Bombyx mori: one gene and its partners. The protein of the gene in region 2 purifies or fractionates together with the protein of the main gene of each other region. This does not show direct contact. Links are inferred from orthologs where the notes say so. Each region holds a gene or a part of one and is shown on either strand. Other genes may lie near its edges.

What was found.
Region 1: the proteins of intraflagellar transport protein 57 homolog (region 2) and intraflagellar transport protein 172 homolog purify together in Homo sapiens (affinity purification with mass spectrometry; 3 studies listed by BioGRID and IntAct, counting the BioPlex papers as one, with this or other methods). This does not show direct contact. The link is inferred for Bombyx mori from reciprocal best matches to the Homo sapiens genes IFT57 and IFT172.
Region 3: the proteins of intraflagellar transport protein 57 homolog (region 2) and intraflagellar transport protein 22 homolog purify together in Homo sapiens (affinity purification with mass spectrometry; 3 studies listed by BioGRID and IntAct, counting the BioPlex papers as one, with this or other methods). This does not show direct contact. The link is inferred for Bombyx mori from reciprocal best matches to the Homo sapiens genes IFT57 and IFT22.
Region 4: the proteins of intraflagellar transport protein 57 homolog (region 2) and intraflagellar transport protein 74 homolog purify together in Homo sapiens (affinity purification with mass spectrometry; 3 studies listed by BioGRID and IntAct, counting the BioPlex papers as one, with this or other methods). This does not show direct contact. The link is inferred for Bombyx mori from reciprocal best matches to the Homo sapiens genes IFT57 and IFT74.
Region 5: the proteins of intraflagellar transport protein 57 homolog (region 2) and intraflagellar transport protein 20 homolog purify together in Homo sapiens (affinity purification with mass spectrometry; 3 studies listed by BioGRID and IntAct, counting the BioPlex papers as one, with this or other methods). This does not show direct contact. The link is inferred for Bombyx mori from reciprocal best matches to the Homo sapiens genes IFT57 and IFT20.
Region 6: the proteins of intraflagellar transport protein 57 homolog (region 2) and intraflagellar transport protein 88 homolog purify together in Homo sapiens (affinity purification with mass spectrometry; 3 studies listed by BioGRID and IntAct, counting the BioPlex papers as one, with this or other methods). This does not show direct contact. The link is inferred for Bombyx mori from reciprocal best matches to the Homo sapiens genes IFT57 and IFT88.
Region 7: the proteins of intraflagellar transport protein 57 homolog (region 2) and TRAF3-interacting protein 1 purify together in Homo sapiens (affinity purification with mass spectrometry; 3 studies listed by BioGRID and IntAct, counting the BioPlex papers as one, with this or other methods). This does not show direct contact. The link is inferred for Bombyx mori from reciprocal best matches to the Homo sapiens genes IFT57 and TRAF3IP1.

Annotation. Positions count from the first base shown.
Region 1 is NC_085117.1:13,504,465-13,508,733, forward strand, and holds the start of intraflagellar transport protein 172 homolog, read right to left. Parts: upstream 2,863-4,269; 5' UTR 2,794-2,862; coding exon 2,755-2,793; intron 2,225-2,754; coding exon 2,053-2,224; intron 1,138-2,052; coding exon 945-1,137; intron 1-944. UniProt on the Homo sapiens protein: Required for the maintenance and formation of cilia. Plays an indirect role in hedgehog (Hh) signaling, cilia being required for all activity of the hedgehog pathway.
Region 2 is NC_085120.1:9,285,575-9,289,912, reverse strand, and holds the start of intraflagellar transport protein 57 homolog, read right to left. Parts: upstream 2,889-4,338; 5' UTR 2,817-2,888; coding exon 1,695-2,816; 3' UTR 1-1,694. UniProt on the Homo sapiens protein: Required for the formation of cilia. Plays an indirect role in sonic hedgehog signaling, cilia being required for all activity of the hedgehog pathway.
Region 3 is NC_085114.1:9,665,664-9,670,227, reverse strand, and holds intraflagellar transport protein 22 homolog, read left to right. Parts: upstream 1-1,513; 5' UTR 1,514-1,686; coding exon 1,687-1,731; intron 1,732-1,957; coding exon 1,958-2,127; intron 2,128-3,653; coding exon 3,654-3,856; intron 3,857-3,942; coding exon 3,943-4,052; 3' UTR 4,053-4,126; downstream 4,127-4,564. UniProt on the Homo sapiens protein: Small GTPase-like component of the intraflagellar transport (IFT) complex B.
Region 4 is NC_085111.1:14,776,550-14,781,163, forward strand, and holds the start of intraflagellar transport protein 74 homolog, read right to left. Parts: upstream 3,060-4,614; 5' UTR 2,872-3,059; intron 2,677-2,871; 5' UTR 2,667-2,676; coding exon 2,553-2,666; intron 1,623-2,552; coding exon 1,385-1,622; intron 810-1,384; coding exon 613-809; intron 1-612. UniProt on the Homo sapiens protein: Component of the intraflagellar transport (IFT) complex B: together with IFT81, forms a tubulin-binding module that specifically mediates transport of tubulin within the cilium. Binds beta-tubulin via its basic region. Required for ciliogenesis.
Region 5 is NC_085116.1:6,783,134-6,787,530, forward strand, and holds intraflagellar transport protein 20 homolog, read right to left. Parts: upstream 2,997-4,397; 5' UTR 2,899-2,996; exon of another isoform or gene 2,695-2,898; 5' UTR 2,693-2,694; coding exon 2,569-2,692; intron 2,339-2,568; coding exon 2,184-2,338; intron 866-2,183; coding exon 749-865; 3' UTR 710-748; downstream 1-709. UniProt on the Homo sapiens protein: Part of intraflagellar transport (IFT) particles involved in ciliary process assembly. May play a role in the trafficking of ciliary membrane proteins from the Golgi complex to the cilium.
Region 6 is NC_085119.1:6,965,528-6,969,344, forward strand, and holds part of intraflagellar transport protein 88 homolog, read left to right. Parts: coding exon 1-79; intron 80-978; coding exon 979-1,087; intron 1,088-1,486; coding exon 1,487-1,594; intron 1,595-2,141; coding exon 2,142-2,204; intron 2,205-3,817. UniProt on the Homo sapiens protein: Positively regulates primary cilium biogenesis. Also involved in autophagy since it is required for trafficking of ATG16L and the expansion of the autophagic compartment.
Region 7 is NC_085131.1:5,592,570-5,596,816, forward strand, and holds the start of TRAF3-interacting protein 1, read right to left. Parts: upstream 2,943-4,247; 5' UTR 2,760-2,942; coding exon 2,625-2,759; intron 1,028-2,624; coding exon 910-1,027; intron 336-909; coding exon 1-335. Other genes in the region: gastrula zinc finger protein XlCGF57.1, read left to right, coding at 4,213-4,247.

The DNA of each region.
Region 1 (4,269 bases), on a different chromosome or scaffold from region 2:
ACATGTCGGCCTGGGGACCGGCGAAGGGGGCCTAAGAAGACGACGTGCAAGCTGCTCTGCACGCGTTTTATGCATGAGCATCCGGGTGATGGAAGGCCGGCTATCCTCAACCCACGCTGGTTCTGACCCAGCGGGGTATTCCGTAGGATAGACCATTCTAACCGGCGCCATCTAGGCGGGCTTCGGATAGCCTGCCAACCGAGAGGGCTGGTGGTCGTGGCGCCGACGACCGCCAGTCCGGCGTCCCGAGGGGGAGGGTGATGGGAGAGATTTGCTCCGCACTAAACGCTTCACTTTCCCCCCTTTGCCTTTTCATGAGTTTTGTCTCATGCGAGGTTTGGACGTTGGTTGTTGAGAGACAGGAGGTTTTAGTCGGTTCGACTCCGACATGCCCCGCCCTTCATCCCCAGTGAAGGGCGGAAGACCGGCGATTTCCTCCTGACAAAAAAAAAAAAAAAAAAATGGCTAGACTAAGTAATTATTTCGATTTACGACAAAATTTCCTTAACATTATTTTCCACTTAGCCAGTTTTACTCAGCCACTGTTGATACTAATACCCGTTTTTGACCGCTACTTAATTCACACTTACGACTACAAAAAATTCAAAACTCATTGTTTTCCTATCTCGATACAAGAGTTATAGTTGGCTTCCCAAAAAGGTTTACGTTTCATCATTAACTAGTCTAACACTGCCCGTTTTGCTAACCGATCTTTGATGTAGGTTTGATTTGTTAGCTACGAAACTTCACAAGATTCCTCGTTAGGCCAATCTCAAAATTTCCTAAAAAATTCAACGAAATCGGTCCAACCGCTTTGATGTCTATAGGGAACATACACAGATCGACGTTAACATATGCAAATAATAAAATTTAATTTCCTTCTGCGTGTAGAAACTTAACGCTGCGTTGATGAAAATGCAAAAATGAACTGCTTCCAAAATCACCTAATTTTCCCATCGCTTGTACCAGTGATAAATCCGTTCTCAGCGCGCAGTAGCTGCACAGGGACTCCGGTAAGTGGAAACTTGTTACAAATCACTTTCTTTCCACTCCAGTCGGCTCCCACTCGATAAACAAACACCATGTTATCGCTCTGTGCAACTCCTAACAGTTCGGAATTTTCGCTGAACGATATTCCTATACAAAATTTAATATGATTAAATTTAACTAATTAATTAAAAAGCAGATTTGCTATTCGTGTATCATTGTTTTCTATATTTATTATATTTTCTTAACACTGAAAAGTCAGTACGATTTATAAAGGCAAAAATTTGACATTTGTAAATTTCTTTTAGTTCAACTACATTATAGAGAGCGGGAGACATTATACTTTATTGCACATCAATTTTGAAGTCATCGTAGCCTAAAGGATAAGACGTCCAGTGCATTCATATGTAGCGATGCAACGATGTTCGAATCCCGCAGGCGGCTACCAATTTGTCAATGAAATACGTACTTAACAAATGTTCACGAATGACTTCCGCGGTGAAGGAATAACATCGTGTAATAAAAATGAAACCCGCAAAAATATTATTTGGGTAATTACTGGTGGTAGGACCTCTTGTGAGTCCGCACGGGTAGGTACCACTCCTACTCATTTATGCCGTGAAGCAATAATTCGTTTTGGTTTGAAGGGTGGGGCAGCCGTTGTAATTATACTGAGACCTTAGAACTCATATCTCAACATTAATCACTAGTTGATTTTTACTCAATAGAGAAAAAAGTTAAGAAAAGCACGACACCTGTAGGTGCTCTTTCCAATGTAATCGTCGAGCATCGATTCTGATTTCTGCGCCGGGGATTTTTTTGGGGATCTCCGCAAAATACACATACCACCAAGGCGTATTAACCACCAATTTATTTATGCTAATAACCAACGTGAAAATCCAAAATCGTGAAATACCTATTTTACTTGATATCTAATTCAAATTATACATTTATGTTCTGGACTCAAAATGCTACTACATAAATAACCGAAAATACTGAAATAACTTATATGACATTAATAGTAAATGACAAAGTATTATTAATAGTAAGTACAAGTCGTTTTACCAGTGATAACGTAAGACTTTTTTCCAGCTGCCGGATCAGCAGGCTTCGTGGAAAACTTGTCTCTGCGTACGCCATCACGGTCAAAAACCAATATTAAACGCTCACACGTGGCCACCGCCAATTTAACACTGTTAGGAGACCAGCATATATCTGCTATTGGATTCTCGACATTCTGTGAACAAATTATATTGAAATGAGTCCTGTCGAGGATTTTGTAAATTGAAGAACCGCATTCGGTTCTAATCATACACTCCTTGCCATTTATTTACGATAGATACCACAACTGGGTGCGCTCTATACTGGATTTGGCCATCTCCACTAACAACTCGAACTAAGTGCGAGTTTTTGAACGTTCACGATAGCGTAAAAGTTAACTTAAATTTGTATGCAGTTGGCACAGCGCCCCTAGGGACAAACGTAAGGAAACATTTGGTGCAAGAATTAGCGGTTCTTCGGCATAACAAGTGGATGGCAGCATTCACACTGTAATGTAAATGGGTCTGGTAACCACCTAAATCACGTAGACTGAAAACTTGTTCAGCCACTTGTGCAATAAAAATACATATATTTAGAAAACGCTGACTTCTTACATCCATACACTTTACACCAGTCCATAGCTCAATAAGTGACGAAACAATAACCATTACTCCATAACTCGGCGCTTAAGTTAAAATAACTTAATTTAAATTTTAAACTATTTACCTGGGCTTCTAAAAACGTTTTAGAATACTTCAGTTTCATTTTGGTTTAATTTATAACCAGCATAAAAACTTGTTTACCTAAAATGTAGATTGTACTTGTTACCTAGCAACCTACAAACAATAAACAAAAGTTGAGCGTGACTAAGATCTTTTTGAACATCTGTACAGTATTTAAAGGATATCTATGATACCTATGATCTAGGTTTTTTTAAGGTAACCGAAAGCAAATCTACCAATCCGTAATGAACTCTGAAATATTTACTAAAAATTAATTAATAAAGTTGAACATTTTAAAAATAAGAGGGCAGAGACGTTTTCAAAAATATACATTGTGTAAAACTTATGGTAGCTGTTCCCGAAAGCCATAAGTAATTACCCTTAAAAACTTATTCATAAAATCAGACGAATACATGAAGCCAGGGACATTTCTCAAAGTATAATTTAGCCAGGATTAGATAGTTAGAAGATTAGACAATTTAAAAAGTTTTTTTTTAATTCAATTAAAAAATATATAGTGATATGGTACTAGAAAATAGTAATTGATCCCATTAACACAATAGAGTCGACTTTCAATGTATAACTGTGCAATTTAAATAATAAATTTCATGTCAGTTATTAAAAGTCATCATAAATTCAATACTAATGTAGAACATTCGCATTACGGCGTTAATGCAGAGCAGTGGTTGTATTAATTCTATTTCAACACTAATATTTCAACACTGGATTCTGGAAAATGTTAGTGGGTACATCCTTATTAAGAAATGTGAGCTGTAGCTCAACACTAGTATACAAAAAAGGTCTACGAAGAGTAGCGTCATGATTGGAAAATATGATAAGACTTGGCTTCGGCCTTATTGAAATTTTTATTTGAGGAAGAAATTAAAAAGGACTTGGCTTCGACTTTTTTGAAAAATTATTTCAGAAAATATATAGAACAGACAAGGCTGTATGGGCTTAGATCCCCTTGCCTTGCCTAACAAGGAAAAATTGTACAAAAATAAAACACTATGGTCTCAGAGAAAATGTATAACAAGGTGAATGAAGTTAGCCCCTCAAAAAAATTTTTTTTTCCTATTTTATTCTTATTTTCTATTAATTCGTTTGTTCATCATTTGTTCATGATTGTTCACTATTAATAATTGTTTGTTCTGCATATATTTATTTAAAAAATATATTTAAAAATATACCTACAAGTTAGCCCCTCTAATGCAATTTTTTTTATTTTTTCATCCTTAATGACTCGTAAATATTCATTTTCGATTGTTCTTATATAAAACATGTTTGTTCTCTTTCGAAATTACTCGTTTTTTGTTTAATTTATTATTTTTATTAGTTGAATAAATGTATGCAAAATATGTGTACTGCGCATGCGTCAACTATAATGCCTAAACTTTCTACGCGGTTTTAATCGTGAAAAAAAAAACAAATATAAATCCTGAAGGAGCAATTAATTGGTATACAGTTTAATTAAAAAAATTAATAAATGAAGTAATGTGCATTGGCGTTAAGTTAGACC
Region 2 (4,338 bases):
TACAAATAAATACTAAAAATATACAAGATAAAATACAAAAGAAGTAGGAACTTATACAGTTATATCATAGAAGCAAAGTAGTGCGATTTCAATCTGGACTTGAAAATTTCCGGCGAGGAAGATAGTTTAACGCTTAAGGGTAACGCATTCCATAAACGGACAGCCTCAACCGCAAAGGAATGGTCATAAAATGACGTCAATACTACTTGTACAATACTTTTTGTAATACAATATTTAAGTCGCAATTCAAAAATCTAACAGATATTAATTAATATATCTTTTACAGTTTAATATCGCGTTTTTTTTTTCTTCATTGTATCGTGGGGTGACAGGTTATTTGGCTCGACATTTATCGATGTAACTAAAGGTCCGTTTTATTTGGTATTAGCATCAACACTTCGATGTTTTTATTCAATTAAGTTTACCCCAATCAAATAGCTAAAGAAGTTTTTTTGGTATGATATTTTTTCCAAATTTTAAACTTTGAATATGAGTCCTGTAAAGTTGCAAATATGTCGCTGAAACCAAATAGCCTCTCACTCCTAGAATTATTATATCCGACGCTTCGAATACTTTGAGGGGGAAGAGGTCATGGATGGAGTGTGTGAATGACGATATGAGAGAGAGAGAGAGAGAGAGAGAGGAGTGAGTGTTGAGATGACGGCTGATAGAAGAGAATGGAAGAGAAAAATTTGCTGTGCCGACCCCACCTAGTGGGATAAGGTAGAGAAAAAGAAAAAGAGTTTCGAATACTTTTACAGTTGTCGTGGCCCGACGTCCGTGTAAAAAAAAACTATGAAAAGCATATTATATTAAATCGTAGAATTAATTTTAATTATGTCTACGACTCGAGAAAACCGTATAAAACGCTGATAGGTATTTATTTATAGCCCACCAATATAAAAATTAATGTCATCAAAATTTACAATTTTTTTTCTGATCCTTCTTGATCGTGTTCTTCTTTTAACTGAGGTCGTCGATTTTCAGCAACTCTAAGAGCTGAAGTGAGGTAGGCCAATGAATGTCTTCATTTGGTAAAAGCAAGGGCATCTATGAGGCCTTTTGCAATTTACTTTAGCCACAACGCCACCAGTTTGTGACAATTGTTAGGTTCCTAACTGACAATATGACCAAAGTAGCCTAGTAGTACAAAGAAGAGTTTGCATACATGAGACAAAATAAATCTTAAAAAACTACAAACAGTTATTGAAACAAGACATTAATACATTTCATGTCTTATAAATGCATTGTTCGGTAGTCCAATAAAGTCGGGCAAAATAGTCGTATTAAACCATACATTGCATTCAACAAATAACAAACCATTTCGTTTTGACAGAATTATTTTGTTGAGACTGCTTAGTGGCAAACCTTGGATTCGATTTGCCAACATTAATAGCGACACACCAAAAACTTCGTACAAATACTGTATCAATCTAAAATAATAATTAACTAGCTGAACCCCTCCGCTTCGCTGGGCATTTAAACATTATTATTTCTCAACCCCACAAAAATTCTCATCATTAACGCCCCCGCAACTGGTGTAGGGAGTCCAACACATCAATGTTAGCCTATCCATTAAGTACATGTATTATCTACATGGATACCAAGTTTCAAGTCAATCGGATGCACGGTTCAGTAGTTATAACGGAACATCCGTAAAAACCACTAGATTGATGTATTAGTATAGATTGTATTTAGTACACTTCGTTGGCAATCATCCCAGATTCCTTGTTATTAAGTAAACTGTTGCCATTCGATTCCTTTGTTGTCAGAAGCCACAGCAACACCGTGATCTGAAAGTCCATTTCCTGTATATCTTTCTTCAAGGTCGCGACAGCTTTCTTTGCTGTAACTAGAGGAGAATTGTCGTTCATCGAGGACCCTTTAGATTCGGTTCTTTGTTTAATATTCTCTAGCTTTGTTGAAAGCTCGTTCAACATGTCTTGCCTTTCAGTGATACCTACACTGGCCTCTTTATATTCATTTGACACTTTGTTTAGTTCGTCGAGTAGAGAACCATATTCTTTGACAAGAGGCTCGAATTGCTCATTCAATATATTCTCCCTGGCCGTTACCTTATCCATAGCCGATGAAATGCTACTGTGCAATTTATTCAGCTGGGTTCCCGTTGTTTTAAATCTATCGAATAACTCTTCTTTGTAACTCCTCATCTGTGCATGTCTCGCTCGCCAGTCGCGTCCATCGGCGGATATCTTCAATCTTAGAGCCGGAGCGACCCTTTCCAATTCCAACTTCCACGCTTCCCAATCGTGAACCTTTTGGGCTATGTTACTTGGTTCTTTTTCGTCTGCATTAATATCTCCTTCAGATTCATCAGAATAAATGGGCATTTCATCTTCAACTTTGTCCAGTAATATTTCGGTTTCGTCTTCAACTTGATCAATGTCATCAACCGACTCTTCTGATTCTGGTATGTCAACAACTGGTTTTTGCCATTCAAAGTTTTCTTTTTTCAATGCTTCATCTGCGAGAATATTCAGGATACTACAAACTTGATCGCCCCATCCTTGTTTTAGTTTATGCGAAGAGAAATCTACATTAACTTCGTTTTCTTTGAGTACATCAATTACTGCAGCTATGATTGTGTTAGGATCGTCCTCTTCGTTGGGCTGAGCGAAATCCTTGCCACACTTCCTTATCAACCAGGCCGCTGTCGAGGCAAACACGAAAAACTGTTCGTTCGGATTAGTGGACGTCACGAAATAATATCGACTCAACGGTTTCATTTTTATCTGGGGACGCAGATCCGTGTCGATTTTTAATAAACGTAATTTATCCATAAGTCTTAAATCCATGTTGATAATGTTTGAATTACGCTAAAAGTAATGCGTGATTGTTTTGAAGTGCTTCGCTACGGTTGCTATGGTGATCAGTCCACCGCTTAAATGTGAAGTGTATTTATTATCTATGGTCTACAGTTCGTTGGTAAACATAGATATTACGCTAATATTAGATTTGTAAATGCACTGAATTTCAAGGAACTACACAAATTCCAGAAATAAGTGATAGGTACATCGAAAAATAAATGAAATAACAACTTCTTGCTGCCGGTTCGGGCTCATATGTCAAGACGATTGAACGATTTTAAACTGGTAGTAGGACCTTGGGAGTCCGCACGGGTAGGTACCACCACCCCGCCTATTTCCGCCGTGAAGCAGTAATGCGTTTCGGTTCGAAGGGTGGGGGTAGCCGTTGTAACTATACTTAGAACTTATATCTCGAGGTGGGTGGCGCATTTACGTTGTAGATGTCTATGGGCTCCAGTAACCACTTAACACCAGGCGGACTGTGAGCTTGTTCATCCATATAAGCAATAAAAAAAAACCTTTTCTGTATTCTTGGTTCTAAACAAGTTAGTTTCCTTATATCAAGTCGGTTTATTAATACAGAAGCTCTGATACTCATTTTCTACGCTTGTATTATTATTACAAACGTTGGGAACAATACTACGCATTCTCTCACCCATGTTTGGATATCGGTATGATTAATTTTAATTAAACCATTGTTAAACTAAGATTCATTAATAATTTTGAAACGGTTGTGTTCATCAATTTGCTGAACATATTCTCTGGTGCGTACTCAACAAGAAATTAACTGTGTCTATGAGACATGAAAATGAACTTAATGTAAAACGAAATGTACTAGTGAAGATGAGATTGGAAGCTGTAGTGGTAGCGGTAAGCAGCGGCTTGGCTCTGCCCCTGGGATTGCTGAAGTCCACGGGCGACGTTAACCAACCACTCACAGGTGGGCCGTATGCTCGTCTGCCTATAAGGGCAATAAAAACAAAGAAAAAAAAGCTGCTAATATTAAAATTAACAGAGCAACAATTGGCCGATTAACGCACCGTCGCGGTTTTCGCAAATTAATATTTTTTTTTATCACACGATTTTATTGCATCACTTTGGGAGGCATACACGAAAACGTGTTATGTACGTATTTCATTACAAAAATGTTTATCTGCCTGCGGTATTGGAACACTGGCATGGTTGCATCGTTCGATACTAGTAAGAGCGTCTTATCTAGGCCACGACAATTCCAATGACTGCAAGATGCTCTGCCACCAATACTTTAGATAGAAACTAGAAGGTTATACGTAATTACGGTTTCGCCCGATCCATTAACGGTGCTTTTAGGTACCTACCTCAAGCACCGGTCACCGTCCTCATCGGACCCGTCGCTTACGACGAAGGACTCGACGAATGAATTAACCCATAGACATAGCCCACTGAGTTTCTCGCCGAATCATTTTAGTGGGTCGCGTTTCAGATCCGGTAGTAGATTCTGCAAAGCACTACTCTTGCTAGGGCCCTTGTT
Region 3 (4,564 bases), on a different chromosome or scaffold from region 2:
TTTAACATTTCTTAAATTTGATACTGCAAATGCCACCTTAGTTACTGCTACCTTAATGGAAAAACCATTTAGTTCCAGTTTTTCAGGGAGCTTCTAGAAAGGTCCCATGGTGTAATGGTTAGCACTCTGGACTCTGAATCCAGCGATCCGAGTTCAAGTCTCGGTGGGACCTACTATTTTTAGATTTCAAGTACAATTTTAATTTTTTTTAATCCTAAAAATAGCATCAAATGTATTTTACACATCGACTTATTATTTATAATACGCCTGTAGTACGCTCCGAGCAATTTCTCTTAAAGCTCTGTATATGCTAAGGGTTAATTAATCTATTTCGGGCAAGTCTATTTCTGCGGTAAAACTGTCATGCAATCCACTTTGAAGAATGGGAAAACCATTATACAATAGAATTGAGAATTCGACCTAACGTGTCAAGGAGGGTGGCGGCTTCCACGTTGTAATGTTTTCAGTAACCACTTAACATCAAGTTAGCCGTGAGCTAGGTCACTCCTCAATGAAATAAAATAACATAATTAACATTGTTTTTATAGTTTAATAACGCGTTTTTATTGTAATTACATAAATTCTAACATTTCGAATTCTTTAGTTTTCGTGGTCACGGACGACGATTAAGCAAAAGTAGTTTTAATTATGTCTACAACTCGGGAATACAGAAGAAAATACTAAACACATAGTAATGTCTTGTGTTGAACTCAGATACGAGTTGAAAGTTAATCAACTAATCATCGGGATAAGAAAAACCGGAGTCAAATCGACATTGAATAAATTTCAATGTTTTATTGGTGTCTTGATATCATTGTGAATGTCAGTAAGGATTCAGCTCGATAGCAGAGAGATGACAAGACAGCAAAAAGATAAATATGAAGAATAGATCTGCACTCATTATTACTACATCAAAAATATCAAGGAAGAAAAATATTATTTAAAGCCATACAGATGCCATAATTAAACCAAATTCGGAAAAATACTTAGGATAGATTTCTTGGTCAAGGGAGCTAGAAAAGCTGACTGGATATTCTCAACAAATACATGCATGCGGTGGAATGTCTCTCTAAACAACATTGGAGTATTCCTGCTGTCGCACACACGCATCGCGATTTATTGAAATTTATGTGATAAATTTGAAGGTTCCTCTGTCTATCTTCTGCCAGTGCTTGGATTTAATACGTCATGTGGTATAATTGTCATAGATAATAGATTTTTTACTGGTGGTAGGACCACTTTTGAGTCCGCGCGGATAGGTACCACCGTCTTGCCTATTTCTGCCGTGAAGCAGTGGTGCGTTTCGATTTGAAGGGTGGGGCAGCCGTCGTAACTATACTGAGAATTTAGAACTTGTATGTCAAGGTGGGTGACGCGTCTACGTTGTAGATGTCTATGGGCTCCAGTAACCACTTAACACCAGGTGGGCTGTGACCTAGTCCACCCATCTGAGCAATAAAAAAAAAAAGATTATCAATCTATAAAATGAAGTTTGTCATGCCAATGTCGTCTTGGTAACGCTGGGTATAAACGACAAACAAATACAATACACGATTGGGATTTCCAAAAAGAAACTTGAAATGAGTTTTTCTACATAATTATACGAGTAAAGCAAAAGAATACAGTGAAGTGAAAATACAACATAGCATCTACCTTTCATAAGCTACAACGTATTGAAAAATCATCATGCAACCTAATAAATTGAAGATACTGATGATAGGTCCCTCTGAAGTAAGTTTCCATAATAATACAAAATGATCTTAAAACAAATACCTATAAATTAAATTATAGCAATTAATTAGGTTCCCGCGGACACTTTTTAGCTTCACATACAATTAAAGTAGAGCTTTGATTATATTATCAATTAGGCAGATTAATATTATTTTAACATTCAAAAGTCTAAGTCTTGTTTTAGGAATAGTGAAATTACAATTTATTTCCGATTTCATTTTTATAGAGTGGCAAAACTCAAATAGCTAATTTTTTATCGAATTCTATTAATATTGATGAAGCGGGAAACCCGAAGCCTACTCAAGGATTAAGAATAGTGGAATTCGAACAGTCAAATATAAACTATACCGGAAGAAACGTAGATATAGAATTGTGGGACTGTAGTGGTGATCATAGGTAAGTGTTGAATATTTTTTTGTTAACAATATCAAATGAATACCTAAATTATAACTTTACAGTAACTTTAAAAACTTAACTAAAACTCTGGTGTCAGGCGCATTTTTAGTAGGTACACTTTTCTATTATTATTGAAACGAATTCCATAGAGCACAAATGGGAATCGAACTCGGAACCTGTAACTCAGTAATCAGGGCCACTCACCACTACGCCACTAGGATGTCAAGCTTTGGTTTGCCCACCGATTGCCGAGGAAGGTTTTTTCAGCTTATGTATGTGTCTCGTTCGTTGGAATGATTTGCAACCTTTGACCATTTGATAAATTTAATTATATGAGGTGTGACGTGATTTATTGCAATAAATTCATTGTATTAAAGATAGAACGCGCCAGAATTTATAATCTAGCCAGGCAGGTCCTAACCGAATTATATAAGCCTACATACAAATTTATTTTATTCGTAACTAAATAGCTAAAAGTGTGAAATAAAATACATTATTGAATGAAACAAACACTCGACTACTTTAAAATACACAATATAGGAAATTTAATTTAAAGTTTAGTAAAAGTATTGTAGGCAAAGCAAGGGGATAAAACATACGTGTGTGTTATTTAAGCACTCCCGTCTGTAATAAATACATTTATTAACATTCCAGTTATGTATTATGGGTTAACGCTCGCAGTAATGTAGAAAAATAAATTGTATCCCTCGAGGAAAGCACTTTTTTGTGGATGAAAGGTGCTCCATTTCATTGTCTGTACTCCCGACAACGTGTAGGTATTACAAAATTCAGTGTATCGGTGTAGTCAAGACTGTCTTCATTAGTCCAGACTTGAAAATACAAGAAATTCACGTTCGAATTTATTATACTATTAAAGCATGGATTATATTACGTTCATTTTATGGTGATATTATAGTTTGTGTTTTCTTTTTATGTGTTTGTAGTGCAACCGAATTCTTACTACGTGAAGTTTTTAACCGATTGCATTTTAAGCCGGAACATAACGTTGTTTGTTTGTTTTTGTTATGGTACTAACTCAATTGATTTGACGTGATTCTCAAACTGTAAATAAGATTCAGACCACTTTCCACCAGACAACACCAGAAAATATAAAAGTTACTTCAAATATGAAACTAAACGAAGATCTTTGATCACCTCATTTAATTTTGTCAGCTAGGTATGCACCTTTAATAATACCATTTTCGATATCCACGCATTAATCAGTGACTAAGACTAATGCAATGATAATGCAATTTAAAATTACACATTTTTTTTATAATCATTACAAACCATATACCTACCTAATCACGTAGATACCTACGCTCAATGACGCACCAAAAAACATCGGATGAGTCAAACATGAGTTGTTATAGCGAAGCAGAATTAAATAACTGTTTTTTAATCTTGTGTACTGTAATTAAACTCTCACGACAATTGTTTTGATTTAATACTAAAATTAATCGTTCCTCGTAGCATAGTCTCCCTCCACGTCTCTACCTAGATTGTATGGACGACTCACGTTTCAGATTCGAATCATGCTGGCCTGCTTTAAGATTTGGAGTTAAAGGAGTAATTTTAGTTTGTTCATCTAACACATCAGAAGTCGCTCCTAGAGAATTAGAATTGCTATATAACTACTTTGTATCTCAACCAAAGCTATCCACTAAACAGTGTGTGGTGTTTTACAACTGCGTAGATGATCAATACGATGTTGGTCATCTTAATTTATGTAAGTAGTCATCATTCGTTGTTAGGTAAATGATACATAGAAATTGTTGTATTTCAGACACCTATATTGAAAAATTTCATTTTCAGCTTCGACATTTTCAAGAATATCTCAAGTCGCTGTGAATTTGAGAACAGAACGTGAACGTTTGAAAACTGAATTTTCTAATTACATAACCTCTGTACTTCAGTCGGTATAAAGTATAATATTATCCGGTGACGTCATTCTTATGTATAGAATTTGGTGAAAAATAAATAAACACATACTTACGTATATCACTGTGACATTCATTTTCATTCCACTGAAAAACATGGAAAAATCGAAGTTCTGGGCATAGTTAATAAGGTAGTCAATGTACCAAATACAAGTTCAATCAAAGTTAAAAAAAGTACATTTAAACATGAAATTTGAGATCATAAGTTAATCATACAAGGCTTAAGTATATTTAATTACGTAAAGCCAAAATGCCGCAACGATCTTTAGAGGATCTTCTGGAATGAAAAACACAGACGGTAGATATGTTTCAGAGACTCGTTATTAGCGGTCACATATACTTCCGCTATTTAATTATTAAAAATATAATATTAAATAAAAATATAAGATATAATATAATTTTACATACGAAAACACGGACGTAGTTCATTGCCAGAATTTGATTAGCCCAGTGGTCCAATCAATGACAGCAACCATGATAATTACGTACCTTTAGAA
Region 4 (4,614 bases), on a different chromosome or scaffold from region 2:
TGGCACCCGGATTTCATTTTGCGGTCTTCTCTGTGTTTGTATTAAGGAATGATTAAGTAAAGATTAGAAAAAGAGGATAAGGATTAGCTGCTTTTTGAAGTCGTTGTGGCCTAACGGATAAGACGTCCGGTGCATTCGTGTTGAAGCGATGCACCGGAGTTCGAATCCCGCAGGCGGGTACCAATTTTTCTAATGAAATACGTACTCAACAAATGTTCACGATTGACTTCCACGGTGAAGGAATAACATCGTGTAATAAAAATGAAACCCGCAAAATTATAATTTGCGTAATTACTGGTGGTAGGACCTCTTGTGAGTCCGCACGGGTAGGTACCACCGCCCCGCCTGTTTCTGCCGTGAAGCAGTAATACGTTTCGGTTTGAAGGGTGGGGCAGCCGTTGTGACTATACTGAGACCTTAGAACTATATCTCAAGGTGTGTGGCGCATTTACGTTGTAGATGTCTATGGGCTCCAGTAACCACTTAACATCAGGTGGGCTGTGAGCTCGTCCATACAGCTAAGAAAAAAAGAAAAAAAAAAGCTGTTTCCGGATAAAATTACAGAGAAACATACGGCTTTCCTGCCTTATTCAAATCAAATTATGTATGTACCTTTTCAATTTGCTCTCGAATCTGTCGTAACTGATTTTCTTTCCTTCGTTTCTCCATGAATACTTGTTCTATTTCATCTTGCATCTTCTGATTTGTCGCCTCCAATTCTCTCGTTTGTTCCTCAACAGATTGCTTTGTCGCTTCTCCGTTTAGTATACGAATTGCAGTATTATAGTCTGCGAGACGTCCCTGTAAATCTACAATATTGATAAAATTTACTACTACTCCTGCCATTACACGGTTCTTCAATCCTAATTATTTTAGAAAAAAATTCCTTGGAAATACTACTTATTCTGAAGGAAAGAAATCGTATCTCGTTTTGATTACCCCTGAAAACATACATGCAACATTTTATGATGGTCAATTGAGTAGTTAAGATGTGAAAGCCTTAAAAAGAAAACTCATTTTCTAACAGGAAAACAAAAACATTTTTTTTTAGTAATTACCTTTTAGTCATAACGTAAAAATCCTTGGTACCTTTTTTTTTCCATTAGTTACATGATTTAAAGTCAGATTCTTAGTATAATTTATATCACTTTATTTATTATTTTTGAAAAATCTATAGCTGCTCTCTCTCTCTTTTCGATCGGTCCCTCACTGCTGAGGATCGTGACTCCGTCCGATTCCGTCAACCAGCTCTCTCCATCGATCCCGTTTTGTAGCTTGGTGGAGTGCGTCGCTGACAGGTACCGTCACTTCCTCCTCCGCTATTTGGTCTAAATTAACTTAAAAGGAGCTGTTCATAAACAAATATTTACAATATAAATCTTACCGGTTAGTTCTTGTGCCAATTCCCTGACCCGCTTCTCATAGTGCTTTTTCGCGGACTTCTCTCTTTCGCCTGCCTCAGCTTGTTCACTCAACCTCGCTATTTCAGCTTTCATTTCTCTAATTTTCACTTGCATCAATTCTTCCCAATATCGTTTATCCTGTAGCTGTCTGGTTCGAAAACCGCGACCAGTACCAGTTCGTAATCCTGAGATACCTTGTTGAGTAATTGGTCGATCAATCTATTTCAGAAAGTATTAAAGTATTTAATGAAATAAATATATATTGATAAGTAAGTAAGTCGAGACTTAGTTATTTTTATTAAACATATCTTTTAGTATTCGACCTCACAGCATAAGTTGGGCGGCGGAATTCGCTGTCATAATTAACTATTTTACACCAGCTAGACCGAGATCTCGTTCCTTGTCTACGATTCGCAAAATAGTAAATAGAGATTTTGTCTTAAGATGAAGGTATGATCGTCTTAATATTGTAAATAACGAAGACTCAAAGACTCCGGGGAAATTAATAAACTTTAATTAAATTATAAGGTCGCGAAGGTCCACTTTGAGGAGTGGTGGTCTCCTTCATTGTGAAATTCAAGGGATGAGATAAGATGAGAAGGGCTATGAATCATTTGTACATAATTATGTATATGTATCGAGGTATATAATATTATGTCTTTCTGTATTCTATAAGCTAACATTCGCACACCAGCAAGATTTCTTTGTTTAGTTTCCCTGCTTAATTTGGTTTTTTTAATCGTCTTCAAAAAAGGTGAAAAGAACTTGATTGTTTTTTAAATTTACCATCAAAATTTAAATTTTATCAAGATTTGACCAATAGTTTATGAGTCATCCTTAATAATGCACATTTAATTGATTTCTTTTTAAAATATACACGTGAATTATGAAAAATATGATTCTAACGGCTTCGGAATGAGCTCCCCTCCACAGTGTTTCTCGAGCGCTATGACTTGTCCTTCTTCAAACGAGGCTTGTGGAGAGTACCCAACGGTAGGCAGCGGCTTAGCTCTGCCCCTGGCATTCCTGAAGTCCATGGGCGACGGTAACCACTCACCATCAGGTGGGCCGTATGCTCGTCTGCCTACAAGGGCAATAATAATAAAAAGGTATTTTATTTTTGGATTGGTTAATTAATTTAAAACAAACCATGGAAAAACCGGTAACGGCAGTTTGTTGTCGGCCTGCTGTTGGAGGAGCAGGACCAAAGCCGGTCGTCAGTCTGGAGGCGGTACTGCCTCGATATGCAGATGTGGGACGCATACTGCCGCTTCTAAAAACAAACTTATTTGGACCCGGGAACGGACATACGTGATGTATTATAATAAATTACCACTTTCATTAATTTGATATACATTTACTATGCTGTTGTATGTTTTGACATTTTTTCCTGTGTCTTTTAGGTGATCTTCGCTGAATCTGGTCCCAATTTCCTTACATAAACTTTAGCTTATTATTATTTATTTACACCTGCAGCCTATGGGTAGTATACGCAACTGGCGTCCAATATAACAATGGGTTCAGGGCACTGATGGGGCTGCCGCGTTTCTGTAGCTCGTCGAGGATGTTTACAGACGCCGGTGTTGATGGGTTTGCCGCAATACTTAGGAAACGAGCAGCATCCCTGATGCGGCGGGTGCGTGGCGGCTCCAACGGTTACCTGCAACTCATTGCGAACAGAATGGAGATGGATTTTCCAATCTTCTTAGCATGGAATCGCCTACATGTGGCAGGATAAATATATTATTATTATGTATTTCCAAACTACATTTTTATATATGGGCTAAAATATGATCTGAAATAAATGATTATTATTATTAGCGCCAAACCTTTACATGATTCTCAGACCTCTATCAGGCGATAGATCGGTGAGGAATTTTATTTGTTTTGCACAACGCGGAGACGATTGATCGCATGATCCTTTATAGCTAATAGGGTCTCTACGACAACGTGTCCGTAGCTGTGTCTTAGAAAAGGAAACTAGGTTCAACTATTAGGCTCAACACGACTACAATTAATTCTTTAAAATCAGATTGTGACTAAAGTTAAAGTTAAATAAGTTTAAAGATAATAAATAAAATATAATGAAAAAATAAAGAATTGAAAAATAATATTTTTGCTTTTATCGACTGAAATAGTTTTTTATTCAAGATTATTTATTTTTCTTTTTACTTAAACCGTGAATTTTTATGCTGACAATTTTGACTCGTTTGTTTTAAAATCTTGGAGAAGACCGATATAATTGAAATCATTGGAATATTCCAGAACTAAACTAAAACATTGATTACCGTGAAAGAGCAGAGCCGTTATTCGTGTGCTCGCGATAACCCCTTCTGGAAACTGGCCGCGTCGTGTCGGACCGTATACTCCCACTGCCATCGGAAAAATCCATAATCACACTAACGTTAACGCCTCCTTAATTAGTATCCACCAACAAAAATGTAGGTCGAGTCTGAATTAATTTGAAATAAATAGATGCAAACTGACGGAGTGTTTGGCGGTTGTTGCTATGGCAACGAGTAACTAACTCGTCATGGACAAGTCTGAAGTTGCACTAATGAAAAATTGTGTGTTTTATTGCTATAGCAAAAAATCTGATTAGAGTATCATTAGTGGGAGGACTTCTTGTAGTGCGCACAGGTAGGTACCACCACGCTGCCTATTTTTGCCGTGAAGCAGTAATGCGTTTCGGTTTGAAGGGTGGGGTTGCCGTTGTAACTGTACTGAGATCTTAGAACTTTTATCTCAAGGTGGGTGACGGCATTTACGTTGTAGATATCTATGAGCTCCGGTAACCACTTAGCATCAGGTGAGCCGTGAGCTCGTTCACTCACGTAAGCAATAAAAAAATAAAGTAGCCGTCTATTAAGAGTGCTGTGCAATATAACCATACCGCAGTGAAAGTATCAATACAGCCAATGTATATTACAATTTACGCACTTAAATTTTCACTGAACGACTTATCTTTATAAAGGAATCTGATCTATCACAACATTTTGAGAATTTGTCTTCATGGGGTTCATGTTATCTGAATTACCATTACCATTTGTTAATACACGGCCGGCAATTTCGTTTACCTTACAGCGTTCATGTTACAATTGCTATCTTAGTTAAAACTCTGTATTGCAAAGCGTATTGAACCACCAAGCGTTAACTGATTACCGTAAATCATCGATTTAACGATGCGAATGCGGCCACCCACTATATATTA
Region 5 (4,397 bases), on a different chromosome or scaffold from region 2:
GGGTTTCTAGTCAGTTCACTTAAGCATTTACCTCCACTCTGCCCATTTCTGCTGCGAAATAGTAATGCGTTCGGGTTTGAAGGGTAGGACAGTTAAACTACACAATTGAGATTTGAGACTAAACTAGGGGTGTTAAATAGAGTGATAATAAGTATGACGCAATTAACTTTTATTAAATTCTATTTTCTTTATTTTTCGTCATAGTCCCCTTTCAGGTTTATACACTTGGGATATCTATTTTTCTAAGCCTAAAACTTCCTTTTTAAAATATATTCTTCCTGATCCCACCAGATTGTTTACTTCAGTGATAGGATAATGGCGGCGCAGAGAGGCATGAACGCCACTTAATTTAATCATTAAGCGTTGCATTCCGTAACTTGTAAAATCACAATACTACGGATTTATTATTTAATGTGTGTTGATGAACAGGAAAATTAAAATGATTACAAACTATCGACTGAAGTCTGACTACATTTAACATATAAGCTAAGGGCTCGTAAACTTAAGCGGTGATTTAAAGATAACACATTACGTTATTTTCAAGCCCAATGATATTTTGTTAATGATGGTTTGAGAACGCGTTCTATAACTGAAAATCCATTGCTATAATACCTAACTAATGGTATCAATTCTAAACAAATAAGTAGAGGTAATAATATTATTAGAACTTAAACAACCGATTGAAAAGGATAATAATATATACTAAATATATTACTAAAAATCACTTTTATTTATTTATTTATTAAAATTAACGTAATTGTGTAAGATATTCAATTGTTTCCATCTGAGTTGCTTCAAGGATTTGAAGTGTATCGTATTCGCTGTCTATTTGTTCCAATAATGAAGTCTTGTCGTTAATTTCCGCCTGAAAGTGTTGTATTTCTTGTATTCATCAAACTTACGTACAATATTAAAGTTATCAATAAGAGCGATGATAAAAAAAAGCTACATCACAGTAACAGAAGAAATATTCTTTATTTAAATTAACCGGTCAACGGTCACAACTGTCAGTTTGTCATATGACTCGTCACTAGTGAATAAAATAATTACCTCTCATTATCTTTTTAACGACCCTAAGAAAAGAGTACGTAACATAAGTTTCAATATTTTTGATTCTAATTTCTGGATGAAATTAGTTGAAGAGTGACAATAAGCTCATAAAGGCAATGAGTTGCTTTCGATTTTTCTCAGCAGGTCGTGATTCCGATCCTATGTGATAAATACACTCGCAGAGCCGATCTCTATGACCTATTAAACGTCTTTTGGAGTTGTTCGAGGAGCTGTTATTAGATTCCATCCGTTCTGACAAAGCCCGTCCATCTTAGTGAAGCTGCGAAGACACCTAAGTCACAGCGCTCTATCGTGTATAAAAGCAATAAAATCACAAGTAGATTGACTAAATGCAGCGCTGAGATGCCTTTAATTAAATCAGTGAGCTATCTAGAACATTAAAAACATGAACCGAACGCATTCGCGGCTATTAAATGTAAATCATTCTGGCAAACGATATTAGAAAAACTTCACGCCATAGCCCTACTTAAAGGATTCGAGTTCCCGTGCGTGTCCCGGTTCAAGTGAAAACCCCCACGGGACACAACACGTAGAAAAGGGAAATGTACGGACTGGGCTCTGCTGCTAATCCCGCCCGCTGATATTATGAGATGAAGGGAGAAACGTCTGTACAGCATACTGTGTGACTACTGCAAAGCAGAAGATACACAGTTCTCGGAGAGCAAACTCTGCTATGTTGAAGTAATGGAAATATGTCCATGTATGTATGTTGATATGCAAAGAAAAAAAAGAACACAATGGGGTAGTCACAGTATATCCATGTTGCTCGCTGTGACGAATAGGCTTACTTGGAGTGGGGTGGTTTCTCTGCTCCTTGTGAGCAATAAGAAAAGGTTAAAAAACGGGTTTTTTAAGGATAGAAGATGGCTTCCAAAATTAAAGTAGTCTTATAATATACGGTAAAATGAACTAAAATGTAAGATCTTGAGTAAAAAAGTTTATAAAAAGTAAAGTGAGTAAAAGGTAAAGTTTGAGTGCCTGAGCACGAAATTAAATTATTGAAGACATTTTCCAACAAAATTATATAACATTTCATACCTAGTTATTAAATTTATATTTTCGTTTAATTAAATGGCTATCTATAAATTATGATAATAAAGAACCAATCTTACTTGCAATTTCAGCTGTTCGGATTCCTTATCTTTGGCTATTGATTTTAATAAGTTCATTGCTCCTATTGCAGCCATTTTCTTATTTTCAACATTGTCGCCGAGATCTTTAATTAGATCTAACAGCGAGCTTATAATTTTTTCAAAATTTTGCACCTCTGCAATGCCGAAAATGGCACAGTTATATTACTAATAACTAGTACATAAATATCACGAGATCGTAGGATTTTCGGTTATTAAATCCAACAATCCGAGTAATCGTACCAGCTCGTACGATCTTACAATAAACTGAAACATTAATTGATAACGACAACAATAACTAAGTTTAATAAAAACTTGTGTATACATAGAACGTATCCAATGTTTACAGTTGAACTCAGATACCTACTATTTTCGTACTCCTTACAGGTGTCCCTTAAATCTTCAGTATCTTTCAAAACATTCTCCTCAAGAACCTTTATTTTATTGATGTCATCGTAAAATAGGTGAACTTTTTGCAATTCTTCTGCCATAACTGAGTGAATCAATAAAATAATAATAATCAGTAACTAGACACTGTAGTAGTAATTTCACTATAGTTGTAGTAGTACATTAAATAAATTATTGTATTTGTATCCTTCTTTATGATTTGTAACTAAAATCTAAAAGAATACCAATAGCAAATCAATCTTCTAGTTGCTATTTTTTTTAAATGTAATGTAATTTTTATAATCTTTACTATTAATGTAGGTATTGTTTGTTTTAGTTGTACTGCTTTTGTTGTCTTAGCAACGTATCGACGTTGGTTAAAACAATATAATATGGAGTCGTTTTATCAAAACAGTTCTAGATTAATGAGTATTTTGTACGAAAAGGATTAGTCTTTTTATAGACAGGTATTGTAAAGAAAACAGTATTTTAAAAACGTATTTCACTTTGTGACAGATTTGAAATAATGATTGAATATGTTAAATTAATATATTAAGCGTTAAAGTATGAAATTGCCGATTTGTACTGAAGAATTTAAAAACCTTTTTTTTTTAATAATTATTTAATTAAAATATCTACCATTATTATGTATCTATACATTGCTACCATCTAATAGGAAGGTCATTTATGCTTTTGCTATAGAACCCTGGTGATCTAGATTCTACAAACTGAGTGAAAGCATTTTGTACTGCCTCCTGGGAAGAAAACTTTTTATCACGTAAAAAATTGTCCAAATCACGAAAAAGTTATGAGCGGTGCTCTTTTCAGCACCCGCTTTAGCAGAACCAATTTACTGCACTCACCTGCTCCTCGTCTAACTAACTTTTATAATAATCTAGTCAGTAAAGCTGAAAACCTTGACATATTTGGCGATTCCCTTCCAATATTCAGGAACAAAATTATAAAAAGTTGTTGTTGAACTGACCTCAGCCTTGGTCTGAATACTTGGGTATTGCTGTCCATGTTGTCTTTCTTTTGTTTTATTATTATTATTATTATTGTTAAATCTGTTCATGTAATGCATGCTGTGATTGCCTCTAATTAGAGTTGCAGCTATCAATTATTATTGCTCTATACATGTCAATGCTATTTTATGTCTTACTGTAAACCCTGTTGGTAATCCTTAAATAAATAAAATAGTTTACAATTTGCGTAATTTGTTCCTTTAAAGTTTATGATGATTTTTTGCCGGGAACGCGAGGAGTGAAGTTGTGTGATTTGTTTTATTTTGTCTATTTAGTGTTTCTTCAGGTTTAAATGTGTACTAATGGTGGCATATTAACTGTGTAATATCTGTGAAAGTGCACAAATGTGGGAAAATGAAACAAAGCCGCTCGGACGTAACTTCTCGGGATCCTCGAAAAAGGTCCACTGAAAAAATCTTAGTAAATGACCACCATTTTACTGAGATTATATTTCATCCCATATCATCTCATTTCATTTCATTTGATTTCATCCCAGTTGATTAATGTCTCAAATTAATCATTTTCATTTCATTTCACTCCATAATATCATTTTTCATAAAAATATGAATATAAATTAAAATAAGACATGACTTAAAAGTCTCAGTTACCAGATCATAAAATCCCCTAAAAAAAAGTTTATGATAACAAGAATAACAAGGCTTTGTTCATAAAATTGAAGTGAAGATTATGTGATTTAATTATATATAAATACTATTTAATGATTATTTAATGTACCTATATAAGCAGTTAGACAGATCTGTAGTGTTTGTTTAATTAAAAAAAT
Region 6 (3,817 bases), on a different chromosome or scaffold from region 2:
CGAGTGGCTGGCGGGCGAGTCACCGCCAGATGTCGCCTTGCAGTACTACAGACGAGCTGCGCGACTAGAGCCGACTAATGTAATTATTATACAGTCAATAAAATGTACAAGTACAACAAACAGTAATAAACAAATAATAAATCATGTTAAAGTAAGTGTCAAGTAAGTACAAAAGCGATAGTAAAATTGATATTATAGCAATAACTTTTGCTCGTGGTCGAACGCTATCGTGACGTCTGTATTATGCGAGAATTTTGAAGTTATGTATACGTAACGTCAGTTGGGCAGGAATTGGCAGTTAGTACGCTTTTATGGGTTGAAAAGAATGCTGGTGTTATCGAAGCTATTCAAACTTCAACATGACGGGTAAAATTGGAAGCGTCAACCAGAACGGGGGAGTGGGGTACTTATAAATACTGCAGCACCTACTTAGCAACACAAGGGCAATTGCTTTCTTTTTTATTTATTTATTGCTTAGATGGGTGGACGAGCTCACAGCCCACCTGGTGTTAAGTGGTTACATAGACATCTACAACGTAAATGCGCAACTCACCTTGAGATATAAGTTCTAAGGTCTCAGTATAGTTACAACGGCTGCCCCACGCTTCAAACCGAAACGCATTACTGCTTCACGGCAGAAATAAGCAGGGTGGTGGTACCTACCCGTGCGGACTCACAAGCGGTCCTACCAGTAATTACGCAAATTATAATTTTGCGGGTTTGATTTTTACTACACAATCTTATTCCTTCACCGTGGAAGTCAATCGTGAGTATTTGTTAAGTACGTATTTCGTTAGAAAAATTGGTACCCGCCTGCGGGCTTCGAACACCGGTGCATCGCTACATCCGAATGCACCGGTCGTCTTATCCTTTAGGCTACGACGATATAAAATGTAACGAACGATACAGGGGTAAATAGACGACGCTAGAGGAACCCGGCCCACCTATAATTAGTCATAATAATTAAAACTCGAACAGCCACAATGGGGCTTACTGATGGGCGGCTGCCTCCGAGCCACGGGCCGGTACCAGGAAGCACTCAGCCTGTATAAGAAAATGAATACCCGTTTCCCCGACAATGTACAATGTGAGTTAACTTGTTATCTTGAAAAGTCGATTTAAATAACAAAGAGAAAAATGTAAATCAGTTCAGAGTAATGATGTTGGCAAAAGTTGACAATGAAAATAAGCGAACACTCTAAAGGTCATTTTAATGTGTATTTATGCGAAATATAGTCGAATAAATAAATAAATCAGGTGAAAGACCTTACTGAAACCGCATTTAACGAGTGTGTGCGTCAGGCCTCGGTTCGCAAACTATGGAAAACATCTGTCAAGGCTTTAATGAGCAAGAATTCCACATGACCACGACTGCTCTGCCAAGAGCAACCGATTATGATGAGTCGAATAATATAGTAACTATATTTCCGCAGAAATTATTCCCTTCTCTTTAAGTTGATGGAGAAGATACTTGAAATATTTTCAGGTCTGAAATTAATAGTGAAATTGTGCGGAGATCAAGGTTTATCTGAGACGAGCACGTGGACGCGAGAGTTACAGCGTGCGCAGGCCAGGCTCAAGCAGCAGGAAAGAGGTTCGTCAAACATTACATCAGGCAAACGTTTACTTTAAAAAAATGGCCCTCACAAGCAGTATGAACAACATTCATGTTCCTACCCAGTCTTGTAACTCCAATCAAAAAGACCTGTCTTTCTCAATTTATACATTTCTTTCCCTATTTACCAACAGATCGTTTCATTTGTATAACCATATTTGTGTATTATTTACTCAAATAAAATAAAGTTTCAATTGTAATTGAAAATGACGGGAGGTAAAATATTGAAATGTTCAAATTTTTTATGTACTTTAAATAATTTAAATTGGATAGATTAGTAAGCAAGCTCACGGCTAACTGACTATACTACTAGTACTAGTAGTAGACGGCTAACCTAGAGTAATTGTTTATACATACCTATCATCTAAGGAACCATGCACTCTAGTTTGTCATATGACCCTTATTCTATTGCCATTGGAATTTCAACCTTATAGTGAACGTTAAGATAAGGGCGCCGATCACGAATAAAAATGCATCAATAATTTTGTAGTAAGTAAGACACATTAATACCAGTCGATGTTTTTAGCATCTGTGATATCTGCGGGGAGTGGATCGTCCAGAGCGAGTCTGTCACCAGTCGACTTAAGAGGTGAGTAAGCTTTATTCTACACCAATATAAAATCAAAATAAAGTTAACTTTACAGACGAAGAGTGAAATGCGGCGGGCGGTTTTATCGCTAAGAGTATAAACTCTTCTAATTACTTTTAAACAGTACTTAAAGGTTGTCGGTCAAAATGTCACCGACAAAATCAAGATCTGTCTTCGAATTCTAGATGGTGTAGTGTGGTATAACTCGAAATCAATAATCATAGTGTTGTTGCAAGGTTTTTCAGAATTCGCTTTTTCACGGATTCGTGTTTCGATATCCTTGTTACCCTAATTTTTAAAATAAAATTCACCCTAAAAATAGTGGCATAACATTTACACATCCATTGGAATCACTAAAGATGTTGAGTGGGTGCGAGTGTTGATTATCAAGATTTGTACGTGTTCATTGCGCGTTTTATAAATTTCACTAGTAAAACCATACATATTGTCGCACCCATGTATACTGAATAAGAACACATAAAACATAAACTTCTAGAAAATTATTTCATTTCTTTTATGTTTTTACAAAATTATGGGGTCCCAGCCGTTAAATAACCATATTTTACAACAAACATACGTAATCATTATTAAATGTATACCAGTGTGGTGTTTTTAAATTTTTTCTTAATTGATTTTCCATCATGCTGTCCTTATTATGGTTATGAAAACCTACGAGGGCAAGTGTATATAAAACAATCAAAAATAACTTAACTTCCATAATGAAACATAATTGAACTTATAATACAGGAAAACATCAAGAAGTGATAAATGTATATGATATACAACTTGTCACTATATAGCTTAAATATTCAGTGTATTAGATCAGGGGTAGGCAACGCGGCCCCCCTGGGCGACATGGCGCTGGCGCCCCCGATCGATTTTTAATGCGCCCTCGCTGGACTAATGTAAATGTATGACAGCCAGAGCGATTTATTTACTCTTTTCAAACGGCGATATACAGCAAGTAGTCAGTTGAGTTTAGGATTGTGCATAGATTAGCAGTTTGCTAACCTTGAGCGTATCTAATAACACGCACGTATTTTTTGTTAGTGTGTGATCGTATTTCGAATAGACCACGCGTAGACCGTGCATTTAAAACTATCAAGTAATCCGAAATAATTATTTTCTTTCAATACCGAACAAAGCTTAATTACTTACATTTAGATAATTGTTTAAGGACCGGGAACTCTAAATATATCCCCAATTATAAGAAATTAGCTGAAAATATGGACACCCAAGTTGCACACTGAATTATATGTATCATTATGTATGACACCAACAAAATAAAGTTATAAAAAATCTGTTTTTTTAATGCCTATTGATACCTGTTGATTATCTGTAAAACATGCGCCCTCGGTGATTTTCAAATTTAGTATTGCGCCCTTAAGGACAAACAGGTTAACGACCCCTGTATTCGATAATAGATAGGGTCACTATGCTAAATTATTAGACAAATTGTAGCCAGCCCTCGAGACCCGGAATTCAAAACAATATTAATAAACCCTTTCTCTCCTTTATTATAAATAATAGGTATTGAAATGCTAAACTCCATGACTAATAAATCCTAATCACAGACATCAATTTTGTATCATATTTTTACAAAGTGAATTAAT
Region 7 (4,247 bases), on a different chromosome or scaffold from region 2:
AATATTTTCATGCTTGGGTTGGTTCTCAACTTTTTCTTTTTTAGATGAAGATTTTTCTTTTGCTTCGTTTTTTAGGTTCGATAAATTATCGCTGCTCTTAGAAATTAAGTTTTTTGTACTGTTTTTCTTAGGAATCGATTCTTTAGATCTCGTTTCTTTTATAAGCACAGTATTTTGTGATGCATTTTCTTTATATTTTTTCACTGCTTCTACTGACGATAAATTGTTGTCTAGAGCTTGTGCCAAACATTGTAAGAGTTCATTCGTTTTCTCTGCCTCTTGACCTGCTACTATCTTTGAAGGCTTAATATTGATAGGTTTTCCTGTTGTATAATCTGTATATAAATTTACTAAATTAAGAATACTTGTAAGTTTTTTTAAATACATACTTAATTGTGTTAATATGTGAGTGAGTTCGGGAACACAACGTATTAATCTAATATATATTATATTATAGTAGCTGCGAAAGTTTCGAAAAGAATATGGGCAAGACAGCGGTAGTTATTACATTAATAGATAGAAAAAAAACGGTATCTGATACGGTTATTTGAACCTTACAATATTCTCATAACTTAATATTGCCTGTCTAATACATTAAGACAGAGTAGAGTAGCCATCGTGCTATGGAACTTATAGAACTAAGATTTATAACTCATGTCTCAAGGTGGGTGCTGCCATTTCCGTTGTTGATGTGTATGAACTCCGATAACCACGGGTATGCAGTGAGCTCGGTCACCTATTTTAGCTTTAAAATTTTACATAAAACTAATTTGCAGAACTACTATCCAATTGAAATAGAGACCCTAGTAAAGGTAGGTATTCACTTTTTGAAGTCTATGGACTCCGATATTAGAACCCCAGGCGAGCTGTGAGCACGTTCATCCATCTATACATCTAAAATCAACTTACGTATAACTGAAATGACTTTATTTAAAAACTGTATTTTACTCTCTCTATCTTTAACATTCTCAGAAGTTAACTCGTCCTTTTCAAATAAACCTTCGAAAAATCCAGTTGTTTTTAAAACCTAGAATTAATAATAAAAAGCATTAGAGAAAATAATGATTAGTAAAAACTTAGACTTACATAGGTCTCGATGTCTATGGACTTTGGTAACAGATTAACATCAGCTCAGATCAGGCAGTGAATACAATGGTAATAAAAAATTTGTTACCAGGACATGTTAGCTACTTAAGCCATTTTGTAAGTAATATCAGACTATTTTACTTAGACTTTAATTAACTTTGGGATAACGCTAAATTTTACCCGGGACTTCATAGAAGGTGTAAATATTATTTAATAAAGAATGTTAAGGAGCTATTTAAGGGACCAAAGTCACGCTTTTTAACCGACTTCAAAAGAGGAGGTTATCAATTCGACCACCATATTTTTATCTATGTTGTTCACCGATATCTCGAGAATGCTTGAACTGATTCTGATAATTCTTTTTTTTTGTTCGAAACGCTAGACTTCCCGAATGGTCCTGTAAGTAATCATCAGGATCAGGATCTGATGATGGGATCCTGGAGAAATCGAAAAAATCTACAATTTTCAGCCTATCTTGAAATGATTTGGGTACTTCTTTTTTGTTCTTATTTTATGTCGCCGCGCACCGGCGCGGCGGCGGCGCCTTCTACCTACACCATTATTACGTGCTTGATCATTATTTTTCTTATGCATTTTGCTAATGTTATTTTAAAACTGCGATATCTTCTAGGATACTCATTGAAATCAAATTATGTAAAGGGCCAATTTCTTTTAAATTAAATGCTTGTAATGAATAACGTATTTCTTTGGATAAGTATTAAGTAATATCATCTTTATAAAAACACCGTCACAAATAATGCTTTATTTTAGAACAAATTTGGTTAGTTTAAAAAAGGTTTTAGTGAGCCAATATATGCCGTCGCGGAGTTTTTTTTAAAACTTTTAAAGGGGATTTTTTTGTCATATTTTATTTTAGCGACACTTAAACCGTTTCCGCAGCGCACGCAGCGGAGGCTCCCAAAAGGAAATAAACCCGATTTTGAAACATTATTTATTAGTGCTCCGCTCGTATTGGTCTTAGTGTGATGTTAAATAGCCTATATACACTGAAAGAAATTTTCAAATCGGACCAGTCGTTCCTGAGATTAGCGAGTTCAACCAAACAAACAAACTCTTCAGCTTTTTAATATAAAAAAATAAAGTATAGATAGATATGGTGTTGCTTTATTTAATTTCTGTTCAGATTGGTCATTTTTCTGTAACAGGTCTCGTCAGTGGAATTACACAGCGTAAATACGCCTCTAGGGTTCTAGGGTAGATACCCTAAAACTAAAAAGGCTCCTGTTAGGATAGACGCAAACCGCATCATTACGCGCTCAGTTTTGCTTTTTCTTTACTTGGCCATTTTCATATTTTCATTCTTTATGATTATTCTTTACACACAAACAATAAAGCACGATTTAATTTCGTATTAAAAAAAATATTTTTTTCGTTTATTTTATTAAGGCGTTAAACCTTATCGGCTCAGGGCGCTGAATCTTATCATACGTCACTGGAAAAGTGCATTTTTGAAGTCATTGCTATTTTGAATTTTCTAAGTGTGTTTTTAAAGTGCTTTGAAAAATATATGCACTCACGCTAGTAATAATATCATGTAGAAATCTAAAGGGAGGCTTCTTCAGTAATTTTTCACTTAAAGGCGGCCTCTTCACATATTTTCCGAGAGATGTTTGAGTTTCTTTTATGATCTGTGGATCTATTTCTTTTTCCATTGCACATATTACAAAGTAAACATGAAGCAATAAATATCAAATAACCATATACCTATTCTTAACGACACAAAAAATTGTTGATTACAATAATTTAACAAGAAACATAGGTTTCATAAAGGTTGTCAGGAGTCGTGGTATTTTTAATTTTGTGTACACTGTACGTTCCCATGGAAACGGCTTAGAACCCAAAAATGTTTTGTTGGTCAAAGAACGGGATATATGCCCATACAGCCGGTATCCATTTTCAAGATAGCTTTAATGACAATTGTAAAAAATTCCAGGCAAAACCCATATCGTTTGAATGAAAAGTGAAAAAGAATAAAACATATTTAAAACCAATGAGATGGGATGGAATGGCATTAAATGAACACTCAGTAAAATACAAGGATTTACGGAGCTTTCAAATTGGCAATCTAAAGTAATTTGCGCAACAGCGATCTTGTTTTTATTACGTACTTTCAAAAAGAAGGATTGATTTTTGCTGCTATGAAAATCCACGGTGCCCGCCACGGTGATCTAAAGCAGTGCTTTCCAAACATTTTTCATTCCCATACCCCTTAAACTTTTTTTGAGTTCTCCAACCTTGATAACTCCATACCTAATGTGTCTCATTTCTCTTCGATTAAATCCTGATAACTCCATACTTAAAAAATGTCTCATTTCTGGTTTATCGGTCGTTTTTATTAAATAGTTATTAGAATAAAGTTCATTTAAAACTATATGTTGTAGACAAAACAACATTATCATCATATTTTTAATTTTTTTAAGTTAACTACTTAAACTTCTCAGTATTTACGGCCATTACCAATATAATTTTCACGTACCCCCAATGGGATTCGGAACACCCCAGAGGTACGCATATCCCAAGTTGGTAATTTACAATACACCTTTCCCACTTTCGAAAAAAAATCCACATAATTTTAATTTGAACTCAACATACGCCATATCATGTCAAGAAGCTCATTTAATTTTCATATTGAAAAAAAAAAGCAGACTTACCGTATCATAGATTATCCTACGTAAGCACAAATCAGCACAATTACTAATGTTTATTTATTGTCTGTGTACAATTTGTAGGTCTATAATTTTATCAATAATTCTTTTAAATTGCATCAAAATAATCAATTTATTACAAAATAAATATTTTAACAAGACTTATTTATGTCTTAATTAATCGTTTAAAATTGTGGCTCGATATGCTTTTCCTTAGATCTACACTACATTGGCAAGACTGAATGTAAATTTAATATGCAGACGTGGCGCCTGATGCTCTGTTCTGTCTAAAGTTTACTTGAAGACCAAATTGTGTGAAGCTATACAATTTTCTCAAAGCGCCTGAGTGAAAGTAATATCAAAGTGTATACCCACTAACTTCTTGATTGTTTATGTAGTTTCGTTTTGTAAACTAAATAAACTATTGTTCTGTAAACACGATTTGCAAACTTAATTGAAGATGCCTCGTAAAGGTAAGAGAGTGGGTCGCCCCCC